Linked DNA regions of Zea mays. Each later gene encodes a partner of the first gene's protein in a complex. Links are inferred from orthologs where the notes say so. Each region holds a gene or a part of one and is shown in the gene's direction. Other genes may lie near its edges.

The links.
Region 2: transcription initiation factor TFIID subunit 1 (region 1) and Transcription initiation factor TFIID subunit 6 share a complex: the UniProt entries of both Arabidopsis thaliana proteins name them as parts of the TFIID complex. The link is inferred for Zea mays from reciprocal best matches to the Arabidopsis thaliana genes HAF01 and TAFII59.
Region 3: transcription initiation factor TFIID subunit 1 (region 1) and transcription initiation factor TFIID subunit 10 share a complex: the UniProt entries of both Arabidopsis thaliana proteins name them as parts of the TFIID complex. The link is inferred for Zea mays from reciprocal best matches to the Arabidopsis thaliana genes HAF01 and TAFII15.

The regions. Positions count from the first base shown.
Region 1 is NC_050104.1:98,697,348-98,705,230, forward strand, and holds part of transcription initiation factor TFIID subunit 1, read left to right. Parts: intron 1-2,373; coding exon 2,374-2,611; intron 2,612-3,551; coding exon 3,552-3,888; intron 3,889-4,657; coding exon 4,658-4,864; intron 4,865-4,967; coding exon 4,968-5,060; intron 5,061-5,899; coding exon 5,900-6,106; intron 6,107-7,883. UniProt on the Arabidopsis thaliana protein: TAFs are components of the transcription factor IID (TFIID) complex that is essential for mediating regulation of RNA polymerase transcription. Core scaffold of the TFIID complex.
Region 2 is NC_050104.1:148,198,391-148,205,957, forward strand, and holds the end of Transcription initiation factor TFIID subunit 6, read left to right. Parts: intron 1-525; coding exon 526-612; intron 613-1,200; coding exon 1,201-1,302; intron 1,303-1,393; coding exon 1,394-1,502; intron 1,503-1,622; coding exon 1,623-1,729; intron 1,730-1,814; coding exon 1,815-1,952; intron 1,953-2,030; coding exon 2,031-2,126; intron 2,127-2,243; coding exon 2,244-2,368; intron 2,369-3,048; coding exon 3,049-3,181; intron 3,182-3,306; coding exon 3,307-3,432; intron 3,433-3,530; coding exon 3,531-3,642; intron 3,643-3,789; coding exon 3,790-4,166; 3' UTR 4,167-4,303; downstream 4,304-7,567. UniProt on the Arabidopsis thaliana protein: TAFs are components of the transcription factor IID (TFIID) complex that is essential for mediating regulation of RNA polymerase transcription. Required for proper pollen function. May stabilize the interaction of TFIID with selected promoters.
Region 3 is NC_050102.1:124,189,512-124,196,507, reverse strand, and holds the end of transcription initiation factor TFIID subunit 10, read left to right. Parts: exon of another isoform or gene 1-24; 5' UTR 25-42; coding exon 43-186; intron 187-269; coding exon 270-334; intron 335-471; coding exon 472-534; exon of another isoform or gene 535-2,451; intron 2,452-2,619; coding exon 2,620-2,677; intron 2,678-2,782; coding exon 2,783-2,833; intron 2,834-3,821; coding exon of another isoform or gene 3,822-3,827; exon of another isoform or gene 3,828-4,378; coding exon 4,379-4,459; 3' UTR 4,460-4,913; downstream 4,914-6,996. UniProt on the Arabidopsis thaliana protein: TAFs are components of the transcription factor IID (TFIID) complex that is essential for mediating regulation of RNA polymerase transcription.

The DNA.
Region 1 (7,883 bases):
CGCAATAGGCTTGCAATTCATCATTCTAACTCTACCAAGCAAATCTGAAGCATACTTAGTCTGAGACAAGTGAATACCATCACCAGTTTTTTGTACATCAATTCTAAGGAAGTAGTGGAGCTGCCCTAGGTCCTTCAATGCAAACTCTAAACTCAAATCTCGAAGCATAGCAACAATACCATCCTGTGAAGAGCTAGCAACTACAATTTCATCGACATAGACCAAGAGAAATATTGAGACACTTCCCTTGGTATAAAAGAACAAAGAAGTATCCACCTTTGAAGCCTGAAAATCTAGATGCTATAATTTATCACCAAGTCGAGAATAATAGGCCCTTGGAGTTTGCGTCAGACCATAAATAGCTTTCGCTAGCTTACACATGATTAGGCTGTGATGTGCTCTCATATCCTGGTGGGGTGGTTGCTTCATGTAGACTTCCTCCTTCAGAATGTCATGAAAAAGCGTATTTTGAACATCAAGTTGCCTCAATATCCATCCTCTAAGGGTAGAACTATCCTGATAGTAGTCGCTTTGACCACAAGATTGAATGTCTCATAATTTATGCCATATCGCTGTTTAAAACCCTTTGCCACCAGCCTGGCTTTATATCTATCCAACATTTTGGCTGCCTTCTGTTTGATTCTATATACTCACTTGCAATCAATAGCATTCTTGGCCACATCAGCAGGAACTAGATGTCAAGTGTTATTTTTCATCAGCGCGTCAAATTCAGCATTCTTTCAATTATCATCACCTAGAGCTTCAGACAGGTCTTGAGGTTCACCAATGGTGGTAAAACACAATAGTTTTTCTATCTTGTAATCTTGCTCGATGATGCTGATTTGTGTAAACAACGGGAATGGGAGGTCGTTTAGCTGGAGCTGTTGGTCCTGATGAAACCGAGCACTCTGATGATACTGAATCATCTGAAGGTTTTGCTGCATTGCTGTCTGTGATGTTTGAGGGACCAAAGAGCTGCTAGCTTATGTCTTCATGGAATTTCGGTCCAGTCTCAACGTTTGCCTCATCAATGCTATGACTACAAGGGTGTTAGATTACCATATATGGTGTGTCTGTGTGTATATGTGGTATGGATACCTGCTAGGTATAGCAGGTCGGCCCCTGTATATGTTAGAGTCATATATGGTGTGTGTGTATATGGTTAGAGATACAGGGAGATCTTGTTTGGTTCTGTTTCTATAAGCCACGAGATATCATTTTTTTCTCTGGAATACGCAGGAGAACTGCACATTTTTGTATTAAGAAGAAAGAGAGAAGGGGGAAGATCCCCAAAATACAAACAATTCCCGAGACACACCGGGAACTAGGGAGAGCAGACTCCGACCACACAAGGGAGAGCAGACTCCTGCCACACCACCTACCACTAGGTCAGCAGCTCGTCTATATGGAAGAAACCAGACAGAGCTTTATCACCAGCCAAAGACAAACACAAAGCCTTGTCTCTAGCCACCCGAAGAGCAGCAACTAAGGTGCAGTTTGGTTCGCGAAATGTAACGTAAATGGTAATGATAATTATTCACACTTGAATACCTGCGGTAACAAATATGAATAGGCCGGTATCCATTTTTAGTGTGATATTCGATTACCGTTAGACTTAAACAAACATGATTTAACGTTGTCGGTTACCCATTACGTTACCAATATGTGAACCAAACGACACCTAATTTCTGAGGGGCTTTTCTGAGAATCTGGCTGTCGGTTACCCATTACGTTTAGGGTTTTAGGGGCCTGTTTGGCTCAGCTTATTTCTGAGGGGCTTTTCTGAGAATCTGGCTGTGGAGAGAATCTGAGTATTGTGGAGATTACATGCGGAGGAAGATAAAAGAGTCCATAGAATTTAGGATGTAGAAAGTGACGGTTTCCTACTATCACAACGACTCGACCGATTCTGTGTTCACGTTTATTTTAACAATTTTGACTAAAGTGATTTTCATAGAAGCGGGCTGAAAAGCTGGGCATTTGACAGTTTGCAGCAGCTTCTGGTGGCCAAAAGTTGAAAAAAGCTGAAACAAACAGTGAAACAGGGCCAATGACCCCTGAAAAAAAGCCCTGTACGCGGAGCTAGCTGAGTAATTTCCAGAAGCACAAACGAGATCTCATTTCCCTTACCTATTTATCTATCTATATAGGTCTCTCCAATTAATCAATCTATTATTTTGCGCTATCTCTATTGCTAACAGCATCCTAACCGACTCTAACTCTAAATGAACTGGATGCATGCAGTCCTGTTCTGTTTTATCTCTAACCTCTAATCCGAGTCGGTTTCTATTCTAGCCCAAGAGGATCTTGGACAACTAAGTTTGTAGCCTATGTATAGCATATTCTAACACTCACCACCTTAGCTTTTTGCAGAATTGAAGCCTTCTGAGAAGATCAAATTGTTCTGTTCTGGGAAAGAGCTTCAGGATGACATCTCGTTAGCAATGCAAAATGTGCGACCAAACTCCATTGTGCATGCTGTTCGCACTGAAGTGTACCTATGGCCAAAAGCACAGAAATTACCTGGTGAGGACAAGCCTCTACGCCCTCCTGGGGCTTTCAGGAAAAAAACTGACTTGTCTATCAAGGATGGACATGTTTTTTTAATGGAGTAAGTCCAATTTATTCCCCCTTATTGTATATTGAAGTTATAATTTCAATGAACTTTAATGCATATGACTTTATATAGGCGCTGATTTTTTGAATGTTAGTTGCTAGTTCAACGAAGTGGTATTACACAACTTTTGATGTGCCATGGTCTGTTAGTTGAAATTTGGTCATAGATATCTCTTGAATTATTTATGACCTACAAAATTGTAACTATAAGAATTCACATTGAAATATGGATTTTTTCTACCAGTTTTGTATCTCATTGAACTCATATATAGTCAACCGACTTATTAGCTAGAAGTTACTTCATCACATAGCTGTACTGATAGTGTTGCAAACTTTGGTTGAGATTTATAATATTTTATTAATAGTTACTAAGTCACAATTCTATGTACCTTTGAATACTACTCCAACGGATTTTCTATGATTTGATCACATACATCATAGATCCTTATATTAATTTATAGACTAAACTTGAACTTAGACAGTCAAATGATGGCTTATATTTTTGGGTGGAGGAATTACAATGTTTGAACTTTTAGATGATGCACCTTACAGTAATGGAGGGAGTATATGGGAGGTAGCTTCTTGGGTAGGTATTTCTGCTTGTGAATTGTGATTTGCTTGTTGGTATTGGGACTTTCTATCATGGTAGCACATGTGTTATTAACACATGACTGTAGATACTGTGAATAGAGAGCTCTGATACTTTACAACATCAACAACTACTACAAAGCCTTTTAGTCCCAAGCAAGTTGGGGTAGGCTAAGAGCTCTGATACTTTACAGTGATTTTTTTATTCTTTTTACTTCTATTTTGGCCAAGTGCTTATCATTATGTTTATATGTGCAAGGCTATGTTGGTTATGCACATTGTCAAATTTTGATTATGTTTTTTCGCCACTGTAGTAATTCATCTGTTGTTTATTGCCCTGAGTGCAGATATTGTGAAGAGAGACCTTTGCTTCTCTCGAATGCAGGAATGGGAGCCCGTCTCTGTACATATTACCAGAAAACTACCCCTACTGATCAGACAGCTGCATCACTGCGAAACAACAGTGATGGACTGGGCACAGTGCTTGCAATTGATCCTGCTGATAAATCCCCTTTTCTAGGAGAGATACATTCTGGGTCCCACCAATCTTGTCTTGAAACAAACATGTATAGATCACCTGTATTTCCCCATAAGGTTGCACCAACTGATTACTTATTAGTTCGTTCAGCCAAAGGGGCTCTTTCCCTCCGTCGCATTGACAAGCTATATGTTGTTGGCCAACAAGTAAGCTCTGGTGCCTGAAATACTATGTTCTGTATAAGCAGGATGTGCAATGTTTCCAACCCTTCCCTATCTGAAGTTTTTCATATTGTCAAGGATATGATCCCCTCACTGAATTCTCCGCTGTGGTGCATTCCCAAGCTTTGCACTGCAGACCATGTTCTGAAATATTCATTGCTTAGGTTTAGCTTGTGATTGTTTCTGTGTGGGACCTTTAGGCTTTACAGCTTTAGTGAACATAGCTGAAACATTGGATATTCCTTTGTTACAGTGGTAGAGATAGCTCTCGTCCATCATGTTTTGCATTTATGCTTGGCAGGGAAATTCAATTTCTTTTATTGATAAAATCTGCTATGAAGTTCAGTAATGTAGTATTGTAGTGTGTTGCATGTTTAGAAGCTTCTTTGGCGCAGTTTTAGCATGTCATGCATTTGTTGAATGATCCTACACGTTGGCAGTTTGTTGTCAGCATGTGAGAACAGAAGTACATGAGAATATCTGAACGTGAGCATTACAAATATGACTGGTATATGGTTATTGATTTCTGCGTAAAATTTGAAGAAACTATGTTCTGTATCCACTTTTTTTTCAAACAAATATAATACTCCTTGAGTTTTTTGTTTTTTTGTGTCAAGAATACTCCTCGAGTTCTTGCCATTTTCTGCTGTTGTTAGAACAATACATTGGAAATAAATCATCAGTGTTTAGGAGCTGTTCTGTATTGGAGCTTTAACGATTTCATCCCTAGGATAATAGTCATGGTTTCTTGCAGGAACCTCATATGGAAGTCTTTTCACCAGGGACTAAGAACATGCAAAATTATCTTCTGAACCGAGTTCTTGCATATGTTTATCGTGAGTTTCGTGCTAGAGAGAGGCCTGATGCTATTCCTCAGATTCGAGCTGACGAGTTACCCATACAAAGTCCTCTGACAGAAGCCATAGTGAAAAAACGATTGAAGCATTGTGCAGATTTGAAGGTATCTGTCTATCACACATTTTATTCATAGTTTCTTTATCTGTATATTTTTATTCTGGACTCTTATTCAACCATATTTAATGATCTCCTGCACTTCCTTACAGAAAGGACCAAAGGGGCATTTTTTCTGGACACAGAGACCTGATTTCCGGGTTCCATCAGAAGAAGAACTGAGGAGATTATTGACGCCAGAAAGTGTGAGTTTCTGCAAATTATTATTGCCCTCATGTTAATCTCAATCAATTGTTTCTTGTTGACATGTTTTTTCCACGAAAGGATGGCAAAAGCGTTGCTACAAGTTTTATCAGAAGAAGAAACAGAAAGAAGTATTGGTCCAGTTCTTTTAGGGAAACCAGGCCCAAAAACCCAACAACATCTCCCCCAAACACAACTACTAAAACAACAGAAGTTCTCCAAGGACAAACTCAACACCACTAGCCGCTCAGAAAAACAAACAATGAGCCAACTAAAATGAAATGGCCAAACCACTAAACAACTCATACTCCTGCTAACCAACTAAGCAACTATCACAACTAAGAACCAAACATCTACCAAGACTAAATGGCACCAACTTTGACAACAACTATCATGCTTCAAAGGTCTTGCATGCTGTCGCTCCAAACCTTTTCAACGCTCCTTTCACTAAAAACCTGTCAAGTCTTTTGTCAATCGCCAATACAACAACAGAACTGGATGACAAGCTTTATCTTTTGAAGAAATGCTTTATTTTGCACGTCGTGGAAATGCGAGTGCTTATTACGCTGTGCTGGCTTATATATGGACCACAAGCGCTGGTTATTATGCCATACCCACATTTCCAAATCTATAGGATGAAATGTCTTTAAAAATTGGGTCATCAGAGTAAGTTGACTGAGAATATATTTTTCTTATAGAAAGTTCTATTGAAAGCACCAATACCTAAATAATGAGGTTTATTCTTTGAAGGTTGCCTTACCTTCTTGACTTGGTGTTTAATAACAGTTCTCTTTTCAATCCGAAAATATGACGACGACTCAACTAAAATATCATTATCCAGGTTTGCTGTTATGAAAGTATGCAAGCTGGTTTGTATCGTCTCAAGCGCTTAGGAATTCTGAAGCTTACTCAGCCTGTTGGATTGGCTTCTGCCATGAATCAGCTTCCTGATGAGGCTATTGAGCTTGCTGCTGCATCACATATCGAGAGGGAACTGCAAATCACTAGCTGGAATCTTACAAGTAATTTCGTCGCTTGTACTAATCAGGTACCTTACTTTTTGTCTCATATGGTGTTTTACTCAAGTATTCAGTAATCCGGAACATCACTAGTTTTATTCAGTATCAGTTCATTGATGCACTCTATGCTTTAGAGAGACTACAGATAACCTTCATATGTATTCATTCCCGATTAATATCGGGAGATAAGGATCACTATTTGGTATCAACAGAAAGAAAACTTGTACAGGGTAATTAGTAGCTGCCATGCCCTGCTCGTGTTTCCCTTGTAACAGGCGCGGATGTTTTTAGTCCTTGTGTGAGGGTGTGTGGGGTCTCGGGTTGTGTGTGTGTATGAGTTTTTTGTATTCCTTTTTTCTCCTATTAATGAAATGATACACAGCTCTCCTGCGCGTCCGAGGTAATTAGTAGCTGCCATGCCCTGGTCGTGTTTCCCTTGTAACAGGCGCGGATGTTTTTAGTCCTTGTGTGAGGGTGTGTGTGGGTCTCGGGTTGTGTGTGTGTATGAGTTTTTTTGTATTCCTTTTTTCTCCTATTAATGAAATGATACGCATTTCCTATGTCAGTTGATTTATATTGAATACCCCCCTCGGCCTGTTGATCCTTGGATGTGACATGGTCCAGAAAAGTCAGCCGACTCCATGGCGATTCCCCTTGCCCACTGGGTAACTTAGTCTATATGAGATGGGTATTTTTTATTCCATTTGGGCTGAGCTACTGGAGAAGTAATAGAGATCTAGCGTTACAAGAATTATAAATTAAGCTCTGGAGAAGTCTAGTGATTCCATATGCTTAAAGGTTGAATAAATTTGTCCTGCAGTGAGCCAGATTCAGTTTTCCTGGTGTTTCTTTTTCCAAAAAAAGTTCTGAACTTTGTTGACTTTATTAAACTACAAAATATGTTGTTGTTATGGTCAGCATTCAATATGTCAGGCAACATACCCCCCATCCCCCCGGTTGGCTAAGTTCCCTTGTTTTTCTAGATTAGTTTTAAAATATTGTAGAATGGTCTGTTAAGTTAGAGTCCTAGATGGATACATATAGATTGGTTTGGTAAGTTGGAGTCCTAGATGGATATGGATACATAATGCTTGGTTTGGTAAGTTAGAATCTTAGATGGATACTGTGGGTTGTATATGCCTTATATAGAGGCCCTTAGACCGTCTGAACCAGTCTACCCATAGTTTACCAAAAAACACTGTTTTGCACTGTAGACTGTACTGTTTGCAAAGTGGAGTTCTTTTTTTCTCGAATACGCAAGAGAGCTGTGTATCATTATATTAATAGAAAGAAAAGAAGGCCTGAAAACAAAACACGGACTCACACCCAGCACTCCAGCCCCTCAAAAGATCGAGGGGGGGGGGGGGGATTACCTTCCTCTAACCAGGATCAAAAAGAGCACGCAAGTTCTTGGCTCCTGCCAAAAACCAAAGGTGCAGCTCCTCTCTAAGCTCAGACTCCAAGGAGGCCGGGGCCTAGCTCCATCAAAAATACACCTGTTTCTATGCTTCCAAAGGCTCCAAGCTCCCAGAATGACAACACTATTAAAACCCTTTCACTTGCTTTTAGGAATCCTAGCTGCTGCTTTCCTCCACCCATTCAGCAAAGTATAGATCTCTCCTCTTTGGGGCCACCGAGGACAGCCCAATTGGAGCTAGGATATTGTGCCAAAACTGCCTTGTGAAGACACAATTTGTTAGAATATGTTGTACAGTCTCATCTTCTTGGTCACACAGAGCACAACTTTCAGGATAGTCCAAACCTCTCTTTTGAAGCCTGTCTGCTGTCCCAACATTTATTGTTTAT
Region 2 (7,567 bases), about 50 Mb from region 1:
CGGTGTCAGATGACACCAACAAATGCCCCTAGCTCCGCCACTGTCTCCCGAGCAACTGTATGAAATCAGTATCTTTAGTTCTAGGGTGTGCTTGTTTATGATGTGGAATGGAATTTTGAGGGCTGCATGGTGGGATGAACTTGCCAAGTGAGATGTTGTTTGTTTTTCCACTGGCACAACTGGTGAAGTCATTTTTTTATTTTCTTTCTACTGGTAATTCGAGTTATGCTGCTTAATTTGTTGAGTCTATACAATTCTTTCCCTTTAGGGATGTAGAACTTAGTTGGATCTCAAAATTTTGTCGAAGTACTAGTGGGGTTTGATAACAGAAGAGTGTCCTATGGCCTGATATTTCATTATCTAGTGTTTTCATAATTCACTTCTTTGTGGATACTGTCTGTTCCCTTTTTGCCACTTGCGCTAATTTATGCTAAGCTTATAATCATGCAAGTCTTCATGAAACCTTGCAGTTTTACTACCTCAATTGCCATTCTGATGATCCCATTTTATGTGTTTTTGCCTCAGGAATCCATTAAATGTATGCGGCATGCAAAGCGGACTGTTCTGACGGCGGATGATGTTGACAGTGCCCTGGGCCTCAGGAATGTTGAGGTGAATTACCTTTCTATGCTATTTTTTTGGATACTTGCAACATATGTTTGTAGGTCTACTATGCACTTGTGAATTGTTAGCTAATAAATTTAAGATCCTTTTTTCGTTGTATTGTTTTTCCGAATCATGTTTAGAACTTCAAAAGCGTGTAACTACATTACTACAATCCACTTTTAGATTTCGACAAGTGTCTTCATGGTATGTAAATGGTATTCAACTTACACCTTCCACTTGCATATTTGGTTCAGTAAACAATCGAACAAGTAGTTTTTGAATGATGCTTCCATATATTTGTAATCTTGAAATTTCATTTCAGAAATCTTTAGGAAAAATGGTTTTGCTTTACTGGTACATATTTGTTTTTACTACAGTTGTAATATTGGTTCCTCAGTTCATAGATGTAGTTTTCTTACTAGAATTTTCTCAGCATGTAGAGCTGTTTGATTAGCTTCTGTTTTTGTGAAACTGCCTTCCTTATGCAATTTTTGTCATACTTTTATATTGAAGTGTCTAACTCCTCTGCTACACTTTATTTTGTTTGAACTGACCCTGCTGTTTCATTACCATGGTCCATGGGTTCTCAATCAGCCCGTATATGGATTTGCCTCTGGTGATCCATTACGTTTTAAGAGAGCTGTTGGACATAAGGATCTCTTCTATCTTGATGATCGGGAGGTAGACTTCAAAGAGGTAGTGGCATTATTAATGATTATTAAATTTTCGTACCACTTATTTCAAAACCATTCATTTGAAATGTTTCTTCCTGGTTCGTGTCATGCAGATTATTGACTGTCCTCTGCCTAAAGCCCCACTGGACACATCAGTTGTAGCCCATTGGCTAGCGATTGAGGGGGTACAGCCTGCAATACCGGAGAATCCTGCTATTGACGGTCTGCCCTTTTTGTCCAGAGATTTATAGTCATTACTTTTCTCCTTAGCAAGATGTAGTCACATTCTTCTCCAATATTGAGAGAAAAATACTTGTTGTGCCAATTATCATTTTATTTCAGCAATTGTACCACCAACTGAAAATAAAAGGTCTGAGCATGGGAAAGATGATGGACTTCCAGCTGATGTCAAGCTTCCTGTTAAGCATGTATTATCTAGAGAACTACAGGTACTTTGATTATGATACCGTGCATTGTATATTACGCATATATTTTCAAGAAACTTATATGTCTATTCACTGTTTGGTTTTGCAGATGTACTTTGATAAAATAGCTGAACTTACTATGAGTAGATCTGATACGTCCCTTTTTAAAGAAGCTTTAGTGAGCTTGGCAAAAGATTCTGGTCTTCATCCTTTAGTTCCTTACTTTTCCTACTTCATTGCAGACGAGGTTGTACAGTAGCTTTCTTGCTTTTGGTGGGTTTCTTTTTATATGACATTACTTAGTGTGTATCCATTTGAATTTCAGGTTACCCGGAGTTTGGGTGATCTTCCTGTTTTACTTGCTCTAATGAGAGTAGTCCAAAGTCTTCTCCGTAATCCACATATTCATATTGAACCTTATGTAAGTAGTAAACCATAAGGTTTTGATAGTTCATGTGCGCGACTTATTTTTTTGCCATTTTATATATTCTTTTCGCCGTATTAGTACTAAATTAGCAGCATTTGTCTTGATCTGTAGTTGCACCAGCTGATGCCATCAATGATCACTTGCATTGTTGCGAAAAGGCTAGGGCATAGGCTCTCAGATAACCACTGGGAACTTAGGGACTTCTCTGCCAATTTGGTTGCCTTGGTATGTCAGAGGTGAGTGATATGTGAAGGGTGTCAGTAAATCTTTGTATAATTATCAAAATTTAATTCAATTGCATTTGTGATTTCAATTCCTTGATTCTCATATTATGACCTTAAAGAACAGTTATGTGCCCATAAAAGTGCTTTATCTTAGTTATGCTAATATGGTATCTTTTCGACAGGTTTAAGATGAAGGTCAAGTCAATAATAGTTTGACCACCATTTCATGCTCTTTCTTCCGTATATAAGATTTTACCTATTTTGCGGGATCATGTCATATGTGACATGATAAGTTTCATGGAAGCTTACATCTTAGTGGAAAACATACCAATAAACCATTGCATGGCTTTGCTACTGAGTAGACTACATAGTGTTCCTTTTAGAGACCAACTGGTAAATAGATATTTTCACTATGCTGTGTGTGGACAGAAGATTTATTTCAGTTCTATCTTCATGCATTTGTTGGGTGGGTCATGACTTGATCTTGCCTTATGTGTTTCCATGCATCCATTTTCTTTTGGAATTGATAGATTTATAGCCTTTTGCATGCTCTGCTCATGGAGTGTGTGTATTTTCTGAATGATGATCTCTAGCTCTCTTTGCTAATTGATATTTTCTGTATGTAGTATTTGGCTAATTGCCTTAATAATTTTCTCATGACATTGTTGACCAACTGAAGATGATGGTTTCAGGTTTGGTCATGTCTATCACAACCTTCAAAATCGGTTAACTAAAACATTGATCCATGCATTTCTTGATCCTGCCAAATCACTGACACAACATTATGGTGCTGTCCAAGGGATATCTGCACTGGGGCCCAGCGCGGTAGATCCCATTTGAAACTCTTTTTTTTTTGTATTAGTTATTCCTTCCTCAGATCCCACTTATGTGGGAGCCGCCAACACTGGGTCTGTCCTATGCACTGGCTGATTGTTTTTTCTGCTTACCAGATTAGACTCCTTCTTTTGCCCAACCTTGTGACATATATGCAACTTCTGGAGCCGGAACTGCAGCTTGAGAAGCAGAAAAACGAGATGAAAAGGAAGGAAGCTTGGCGTGTTTATGGTGCCTTGCTGGTCAGTTCAGAGTTCTCAGTCAATATAATATTTATCGTATTTTGGTTCACCAACTAATGCCAGGCCAAGTTTCTTACCAGTGGAATGCATTTTTTTAGTGTGCTGCAGGCAAATGCTTGTATGATCGGTTGAAACTATTTCCTGGTTTGCTTTCTCCGTCGATGCGGCCTCTTTTACAGAGCAACAAAAGGGTCTTAACCAACAACCCAAGTGAGTGTTGAATATAAGCACAGTATCAGTTGAATATATGCCACTAGACACGTGTTGACTGGCAATTAAGTGCAAAGTGGTTCTTACTGTCAGCAGTTGGATTAGTCGAGTTTGAAAGTAAAGATTATGTTGCGCTGCAAATTTCAGATAAGCGAAAATCTAGCACAGATCTCTCTGCAACTCAGCCACCTCTGAAGAAGATGGCAACGGACGCAACAGCCAACTCCATGGCCTCAGCTTCCATGGGAGGAAACATGCAAGGTGCCATGGATGGCTTTCCCAACCAGTTAGGCAACCCTGGCATGATGCAGGCCTCGTCCTCTGGGCAGACGGTGGAGAGCATCCCATCAGCTGCGGTCCGGAGGGATCAGGGCAGTGATCTCGCGCAGAGAGTTTCTGCAGTGCTTAGGCAAGCCTGGAAGGAGGACCAGGACACCGGTCATCTCTTGGGGTCTCTGTACGAGGTCTTCGGGGAAGCCATCTTCTCCTTTGTCCAACCACCAGAGATATCCTTGTTTGTGTAGAGAGAGAGAGAGAGAGGAAATGCATAGACTCTAGGTTTTATTATTCTACGCTGTTGTACAACTAGGGATGTTTTGAAGAGTTCACGAAACCCGGTTTGACATTGTCAAAGTAATGTGACTGAAGTTGTAGTTTACTCAGTTGCTGTGCTGTGCTGCTATCCAATGCATGCTATTTATGATGGCGTTGGCATTCAGATGGCATAGTTTGCTTTTGTAAGCGCTTGCCATTTTCCAACTCTATGGGAACGTCTGGTGTATTCCCGCTACAGCTGTCAGCAGGTTAACCAAATTCCGATGTTGTTGTACGCTTACCAACAGTCACTCGTTAGTATATCTGTCAGGTTAGTAAGCGTACAGAAACTTTGGAAACATTAGAAGCTCAGTTCTTGAAATTTGGGTATCATTATCATTCTCCAGTCCTTCAGGGATGGAGTGTCACTTATCTCCTGGCTATTCCACTAGTCTATATGCTCAAAGACCATATGCGCTTAGTCAAGTCCTCTTTCACCCTGTCGTCGTCTTTATGGAGGTCTTCGCCCACGAGAACGGCACCTGAGTAATGCGTCAGGTCAACGAAGAGTGGGAAGCCATGCCACGCGTGTTAATGTGTGCACTTACCACGATGTCATCAGTAGCCATGGAGGACGAGTTCGGGACGTAGTTGCGACGAACGTGGTCGGGACAACCATCACGATTCCGGTAGTAGCGTAGCTGAGCCTGTTCTTCTCTAGCGAGGACACCAGCGGCAGAACGAGCTGGCTGCCCACGAACACGAGGATCGACAGCCAGATCCTCGCTAGATCCCCTTCCAGGTACGCGCAGATCACTGCGGAAAGATCAGCAGCGCCTCAGTTTTTTTTTTTGGCTGCTGCTACCTACCTTAGTTTCTAAATAGATGATGCTTTTAACTTTTAGATATTACATGTAATTACCTATCCTACATATTTTTAAAAACAATAAAATAAACAAGTCATTATTAATGCATCATTAGTAACTAGGTAGGTGCCCGTGCGATGCCACGGAACATAAATTGCAAACCTCCAATGGACTTTATTTGAGACAAGTGATGCCCAAGAAAATGGGGGTAAACTGACACAGCTATCACTTGCATTAATTGCCCTATGCGCGGAAGAATCTGACACAGCTATCACCCATGAAGATTTCCGGTTAACTTGTGGAACCGGACTTCATTTGAGACAAGACAACAATACCAGTGTTGAGCTTGCCACTCGGCCATGGCACACGCGAGAACACGGGATGATCAAGTAAGAACTGAACAGAATGCACTAATACAAAAGGCTGTCTTGCGTTCGCTTCCTTGCTCCACAGGAAGCATAGCTGATATACAAATCGAGAAGTTTTACATATAGAGTAAAAAAGGTCCTGCTCTCGTGTTTTCGTGTAAAACTGGATTCTGTTCAGTTCTTACTGTGGAGCTATGCTTCCTAGGTAAAACTTCTCGATTTTTATAACTTCTCGATTTGTATAAAAACTTCTCCATTTACATATTGGGAAGTCTATATGTAAAACTTCTCGATTTGTATATCAGCTATGCTTCCTATGGAGCAAGGAAGCGAACGCAAGCCAGCGTTTTGTATTAGTGCATTCTGTTCAGTTCTTACTTGATCATCCCGTGTTCTCATGTGTGCCATGGCCGAGTGGCAAGCTCAACACTGGTATTGTTGTCTTGTCTCAAATGAAGTCCGGTTCCACAAGTTAACCGGAAATCTTCATGGGTGATAGCTGTGTCAGATTCTTCCGCGCATAGGGCAAGTAATGCAAGTGATAGCTGTGTCAGTTTACCCCCATTTTCTTGGGCATCACTTGTCTCAAATGAAGTCCATTGGAGGTTCGCAATTTATGTTCCGTGGCATCGCACGGGCACCTACCTATAAAATACAGAAAACACAAAGAAGTATTTATATTTGGTACTGTACTAAGCACTCACGTACGCACACTACAAAACGAATACGCTAGGCTAGGCATGTTGATTGGAAGAGCTCTTGCCATTGACGACATTGGAAGGGGTCGACTCTATTAGTCATGAAACGACCTACAGAATACAGATTGCATCACAGAAACACCAAACACCAGAAATCAAGTAAGACACTGGGCAACTTGAATGCAGGTAAACCGTACCTGGGGGAGGAGATCCCCCTCACCAGTAATAAAGTTTTAACAGTCAAGAGGACTATGTATTTACAGCGTTTATGACTGGATCAACCGGCAATGATAGATCAGGTGAATATATGGCGGAGGAGGCCTCCTGAGTAAGAGAACGACTTCTCCGTCTCCTCCAGGCAGTGGTCCTTCTCCTCCCGAGACCAGCTCTAAGGAACCAACCAGTACATGGAAAATAATTTGACAGTTAGTTTTTCCTTCGAGAATCTGCCGTTCAGTTTAAAAAGCTTTGGTACTTGTGTTTGGTTCCAGGGACTTACCGAAGCGACTTGGTTAAGCTTGTTGCGGACGTTCTGCAGCAGCTGGGAGAGATTGCCCTCCCACTTGTAGAACTCCAGGTCTTTGGAATCTTCTCGGAAACCTAAGATACCAGGAGCACATGGTACTGTGTTAAATGATACGAGATAATGGAGGAACAGGTAGTTTCAGACTTCTGAACTACCCAGATCAGCAACGAAAGGTAATCATATTCCTAACCAGAAGTGCACTGTAGTATCGACAAAGAAAAAAGGCACAAGGAATCATATTCAATAGAGAATGCATATGCATGCTTGGGGATTTGATGGCATCAGACACCTGAATGTGCCAATGCTGTGTAAATTATGCTTGCCAAAACAATGTTGTGACATGATGCCATGTACTACTCAGTATTTTGTCATTTTCTCAGAAGGGGGGAGGGTCACCTTTTTTGCCAATCATTCGGCCTCCAGCAGTATGAGCAAAGTACACGTTATAGAAATGGCAGATAAAGGCCTGGGGGTCCTCCTCAGACAGATCTTCCAGTAGAGAAGTGTATGTGGTGCCAGGGGCCGATGGTTTTGGAATTGTGTGGCCCTGTTGCCTGAACCATTCCAGATCATTTTTCAGTGCCTCTGATCTCTCCAGCCCAGTATTCCGAAACTCTGCATCTGAAACACACACCACTAAAAATCTCAGCAAGCAGCATCTTTGCAGATCCTGATGAAGCAATCGCCCATTAACTACTACTCCCTCTGTTATTATAAGACATTTTTTATAGATAAATTGTCTACAATACCAGGTTCAACGACCTGTTGCTGCGAAATGTTCAGCGTGTCCGTTCAGCTCGTCGATGTTTAGCAGATTGTCGATGTGGGTGACGATGTTTGAAGCCAAACTTTCTAACACCCTCGAATAGCTCTCGAGGATTGATTTGCCCACATCCTAAAAATTGCTCACCAGCAAGAGCCGCGTCAGTTATT
Region 3 (6,996 bases), on another chromosome or scaffold:
TGCGCGGTGGGGGCAGTGAGGCAGCAAGACGTGAGGTCCAGGATGATGAACAACAACAGTGGCGGCGGTGCCGGAGGCCCTGGAGGGGGCATGGGTACGGGAGTGGGTGGAGGGGGGGACGGGCGGCACGACGACGAGGCTGCGCTCACCGAGTTCCTCTCATCCCTCATGGACTACACCCCCACGGTATGGTGCCGCCGCTTCCCTCTCGCCTTCTCTACTTTTCTGTCAGCGGCTTAACCCTGATGCTTGGTTCGGTGGCGCGTAAGATTCCCGACGAGCTGGTGGAGCACTACCTCGGCCGCAGCGGGTTCCACTGCCCCGACCTGCGCCTGTGAGTGCTCGTCTTCTTTCCAATCTCTCTTCCTGATGGATAATAGTAAGCTGAGATCTGATCAGTGCCATGGATTAAAGTTAATAACACAAATTGCTTGATTTCTTGCACACATAATCTGAATTCGTGTTTTACAGAACGAGACTGGTTGCTGTAGCCACCCAGAAGTTCCTATCAGACATTGCTAGCGATTCTCTTCAGTGAGTAAATTCATAGTCTCGTTATTGCAAAGTAAAGGATTCTCTTCTTAATTTCAATGATGATAGCATATTCATGAATGAAACAGTATCATTCTTTTATTCCATGGGAATGCAAATCTTCTGTGCAATACTGCAATTCCATGTTTTTGTCTGGTTGAACAAGTTTGTTAGGCTTCAATCAAAATCCCTCCCTAATTGCATGTACTTGTGAAATTATTCATCGAGACATGGTTATGTTTATTAGGCTTCAATCAAAATCCCTCCCCAATGAAATTATTCATTGAGACATGGTTTTTAAGGTGCCGCTTACGTGATATGGCTCGCTGGAAATCTAGGCATCCCTATCGCCATGATCAAATATAAATATAGAGACAGAGGGGGGGGAGGGCATCTAGGTCAAGAACCCGAGCTGCTGCCATCCCTGCTGGATCCAACACCAGTGGCTGGCACAGAACTTGCTCCGGTCAGCTGTGACACAGTCAATCTGGAAGGTGACGGCAGTGGTGGTCAATTTGAGAGCACAGATAAGTGAGGAAAGCGGAAAAAGTGGGAGGAAGGAGAAGTTTCAGGCAGTGGTAGGCGCATCTGGATAGAAAGGGAGAGGAGGGAGTATGCTGGATATGTGGGGGTGACCATGTATATGCGCACTGGAGCCATTGATACAGGAAGGGAAGGAGAGGCTAAAGAAAGGAAGAGCATGAAGAGAACCAGGCAAGGCTGCACCTGCACCTGCACCTGCCCTCGCCCATCTCTGTTGGCTCCGGCGCCTGTGGTCTTGCAGATCTTCACTGGTCAACTGTATAGCTCGATCTGAAGGGGGCAGCACCAGTGCACAATCTGCATGAGTAGAGCTCTATTTCAAAAGGGGTGGCGTTGGCCCTCAATCTGGGAGGTGTGCTCTTGGGGCAGCCAGGCTTGTCGTTGCTCAAAGACGGCATTGGAAAGGACTGATGTAAACAGGCAAACAGCATCAAGTGAGGAATTGGTGGATTAGGGATTGAGGGGAGAGTGTAGGGTGTTGCTTTATGGGCTGTTGGGTTAATTGGGTTCTAATGAGTTAGTGGGGTGGCTGCTAATAGTTAATGTGGCCCATCGATGCTTGTATTTACCTCTTATTCTACATTATATATCTTACTACATATTTTATGTTCCATATCATTTACTTTTTCAAAAAATGAAACATATCCCTATATTGAGTAACTGTGTAACATGCAATTATCTTCAAAGTTTTTTAAAAAACATACAAGATACACTTACAAAGTGTATGCCTGATTTTGCGGAGATTCTGTAATTATATTACTTGTATAGGAGTGTATGAAAAACAGCTATCCATGTGCCTAAACCTGTATGGTTTCAACTCTAGCCTATCCCAACTTACTTGAGACTAAAAGGCTTTGTTGTTGTTATTTGTAATTATATTACCAATGGCTCATTCTTTATGTGGTCTGACTAATCAAGTGATGAATAACTAAAGCATACTAAAATTAGGAAACAGGTCAATTAGGGTTTTTTTGGTATCATCATCATCATGAGTTACGAATTAAAAGCATACCTAATTAACTGAAGGATACCTAATCAATCATCATGATAGGCTCATGTATCACATCATGTGCCTTAGCAAGGTGCGATTTGAGGTTGTAGTGGCAGCAGGCTAGCGCCTGCTGGAGAGGCTCCTAGTTTGACACGACCTGAAATGCACATTCTGCAGTCAGCAATCTGGCAATCACATTTAGCCTAGACAGCTATGGCAACTGAGCTGCAGGAATTGCTAAATGACTAGAACAGGTGCCAAGCTGATTATTTACCAGGGTCCAGGGGAGGGGGTCTTAATAACCCTGAAAGGCATTGTGATTTACAAAGCCCGTGGAAAAACAGATCCATTGTGCGGGGAGGATGGGATCTTTCGGATTATATTGCGTAAGTTTGCCAGGGTCTTATTTTGTTGGTTTTTTTTGTCAGTGTATGATGTGCTCTACTGTTCACTATATAACAAACTATTTTAACATTTTCTTAGCGATATGTATTATACACACTGTATTTGTGTGTACTAACTTTGCTGTTACATTATTCTTTCCCTTGAACTAGGCACTGCAAGGCCAGGGTAGCAGCACCTATCAAAGACAATAAGAGCAAACAGCCGAAGGTGTATTTACTCACTAGTTGAACTTTTCGTGTTCCTAGCGTTAAATCTTGTTTAGTATCCTTACTGATTACTTATCACATTTTTCCTAAAAAATGTTACTTTCAGGATAGACGTCTTGTATTAACCATGGATGATCTTTCTAAAGCTTTGCGCGAGGTAACTACGTTTCCATTTAGTTCTGCAGTTTGCAAATTTTTATTTTTGTTGGCAGCAGCTTACCATTTACTATCTTCTGTATTCCAACCAGTTGGGTAGATCTGTTTTCTTAAAATCAGTCAGGAGCACATTGTTTGGTTTAGACACTGTTTTTTCAGGACTTGAAATTGAATCTCCCCACTGTTTTCTTAAACTTACACAGTTATGTAGATCCAGTTTGATATGCTCTTGCTCCTCACAAATTTCCAAAAATTCATAAGGAAAACCACCTGTTAGCGGCAGTTAAGAACAGAGCACACGAATAAAAACTTGACAATGGAGGATAGATATTTAAGCAAATAGCATGTGCTGCACAGTAGATTTTAAGGCGATGACTAATATGCAATCAGTCATTATATGCAAGCGAGCTTTCTGGCCCGTTAGGTCATGATCCAACCGTATATATAACTGTGGTTTGTTTTACACACACACGAGCTGGTCTTGGAAGGATTTAAGTGTTAAATGTGACATACGGTTGAATCATGATCTAACAGACCAAGATGCTTACTTGCACATTAGGTCTGATTGCATATTAGTGATCGCCAGATCATAATGATGATTGAGTTCCTTTAGACTAGATATATGATCCATTCCAGCAACCCAATGGCAGTGCGCCAGTGCCCATATGACCTGTATCTTTTTGCAAGAGTGAGGCACACACCATCCGATATTGTGCATGGACCTAAATATACAAGGTCATATGGAGATCAGACTAGTGTGGTTTTCTTTGCCTGTACTGGTTAAACCTTATAACTGTCAACCTTACTGTCGTTGTAGTAAGAAAGAAAAGTGGGATCTGGATGTTGCTAAAATCTGAAGGCACAATTCATCTCCCATTTAAATCGAATGTGTAATAGTGGATATCACAGTCATTAAATGAATTTGAGCAGCTAATCAGATTTCAGATTGTCAATCGAACATTGCATATTCTGAGCTTCCTCCTTTATAGGTTTAATGGTTTACCCATCGACAAGAAGACCATTATATGCATGGAAATAAGCACTTCCGGAATCTACAACCTAGGAATTTCACTGAAAACAGTACAATCCCTGCAGAATTCAGTACCATGCCAGTGCTATTAAGCATGGCGGTGGTGGTGGTGGTTGGGGGGGGGGTGTTATTCTTTCTTACATTCCAAAATAAGTCTGTTATACCCAAACCTTGCACAAAGGCATTGTCCTGTACTTTATATCAAATACAAAGTTTATAATGTTGATAGAATCTTCAGCGTCCAACATCCAGGCACCCTTCTCGAAATTATATTTGGTAAAAACCCTGTTTTTGTTTAGTTTTGAAGGTGACTTGTGTAGTACCTCCAATACCTAACATCATCTCATGGCATCATTGTTGGGAGAATGGAGTAGTAACTGATAAATAGAATCCTAACTCAAAAAATCTTCATTCATTGGTTTCGCATGGTCACCGTATTACTTTCCAGCACATCAGCTTTTGCTCCATGTGTGATCCTTATATACCCTGATACTCACATGAGCCATCTCTCTGCAGCACGGCGTGAACTTGAAACACGCGGAGTACTTCGCAGACAGCCCTTCAGCTGGAATGGCTCCTTCGACCAGAGAGGAGTAGACTGGATTAGGCCAACTTGTACGGAACTAGGGAGGGATCGCGTGGAATGGATGGGCATGTTGGCATTCTTGCCCGATCAGATCGATGGGATGTATTACTATTAAGTACTGCTACTATGACTAGTATATTTCTCAATTACCATTGTCACTGAGAGAATCCAGACACAAGTCGTTTTGCCCATGCGCTTTTATTTGTACAAACTGTCAATCATCTGTAACCCTATGGGGCCCAAGGATGATTGGGCAAACATCATGAGTTTTTTGTTTTCTACATACCATTCTAAAGGAGGCAGCTCACCTTCCCTGGGTGGCGAATTGTCAAATCACCCCCTGGCCCTAGGAGAACATCTCTATGGACACTTCTCTAGGTCCCTTGTTTCCTCCATGTTGACAAAGTGATCAGTATGTACTTACCACATGACCACACTGATTAATTGTGTCCTTGCTTTCGTCTATGGCACACCACCAGAAATCTGTGTTTATATGTCATCAGCCGTACCGATGTACCATGGTCCACGATTGACTTGGATTTGTTAATCGCTCAGCGTGAACCAAATTCGTCCCCACATCTTTTTTTGAAAAAAAATTCATAAAAACTTACGGCACTCCATCTTTTTTTTCTTCAACGCAGCTTGGATTTCTGAAAGGGACTAGCCCCAGTATCATATTTAGGCCACCAACCCACCATCAGGCATCAGGGATTTAATTTTTTTTTTTAAAAAAATCTTGCACAGTCTGGTCACTCTCCAATTCCTGTTTGCATTGCATGGTCATCGACACAGACATTTACAATCGCAAAGTCCCTAAGCCAAGGTCCATCTCAGCGTTTTCATTTGCAGGAAGGGAAGCGCTGACTTCATCCCGAGTTCAGTTCACAACCATTTTTTCTGCTGACGAAGGTTTCACAAGGATTAACAAAGCCATGGCCGGCGCAACGATATGGTTTAACAATCCGGACGGTAACTGGTAAGTTTACCCGTACGTATCATTGGCTAGCCGTTGCCGTACCACGTAGGTCAAGTTGATTTCGCGAAACAGGACAGATAAAATGAACCTCGTCTGTCACGTCCGAGTGAGTGGATTATCATCCCAAGCGATTTTCATGATGAGATTTGTGAGATAAAAAAATACTGTAGAAATAAACAAACAAGCCAGGGCAATGTTCCAGACCTCTAAAACCAATAGTTAGCGACTAAAATTGGCTGAGAGGTTTAGAGCGTGTCATCTAATACAGGGGCGGGCCGACAAATTTAAAGGCCCTGTACTAAACTTCAAAAGATGTCATATTTTATAGAAAAAATATAATTGAAATTACATTGTAATAGAATTTATGTATTCTAAATTGTAAAAGATTTACTAGATAACTCTTTTAAATCTATCTATTTTTTACGAAATTATATTGTAATAGAGTATATAAATAAACATACGTATTAATAGATGTGTTTGAAGAGCAATAGGCTAGCTGCTAACTGAGTTCAGCTTAGATGATATAATGTTAGTCTGCTTATTGATGCATATTATTTAGGTTTACTACTGAGCTAAGAAATTTTTTAGACCCCTCAGAATTTTAGGCTCTGTGAGGTCGCACTTGTGGCACATGCATCTGGCCCGGCCCTGATCTAATAGACCAACTAATTATTAGTTATATCTCTATGGGGTTACTGATAATTAGCTCGACCGAATAGGATTATCGTAGGTCAAGTGGGTAACTCGAAGTCCAGAAAGAAATACTACCATGTTGATGAATTATTGCCCTGTAATTAAAAGAAGTCTCAAGTTGTTCACTTGGTCGCTTTCGTTTCTTCTACCATATTCTGCATTTTTTAATTAATGAGATGGAAAGTGTACCAAACGGGCTGCTGCTACAGATCGCGTTGGACCGGTAAAATTAAGGTCTCGTTTAGTGACAAAGGAATTGGGAAAAAAATCATAGAGGAGGACATATATTGCTAAACCAAACCTATAATTGATTACAGGCAGGGGGCTTCTGACTTTGGTATGGATCTTCGCTAATCTTTTGACTTGCTACGGAACTTCGCTAACCTTTAAAATTCCCACCCGTCATCTTCTACTCGGGCCAGTAAGAGTCCAGCTAAAGTCTTGTCTGGTTAATCCTATGCATTGGCGGAGCTAGGGTCTCTCTAAATATAGGATTAGATATAACACTAAAAACGATGTATGGACCTTTAAACATCAAAAGCTAGCTCTCTTGACAGCAGTCACAGCTAATCATACTGGTTGGTATATGGACCTTTAGAGACTATTTGGTCCAAAAGTAGGGCCTAGGCTCTCCTGCACATAGGCCTGTCTCCGCCACTGATCCTATGCCCCATAGATTGAAAGATATTGGAAAAAAAATTTATGAAGAACTTTGACTTGCTATGGATTGAAATTCATCTAATTTCCTCAAATCTATATGGATTTTGATGAAACCGAGTAGACCCTAGGAGCTATATGGCATGACAAAATCCACGAGGCAAGGCAAAAGGTGAGCACTCTACATGGTTCTGGTTATACTTATACCTTCGGTTTCAAGAG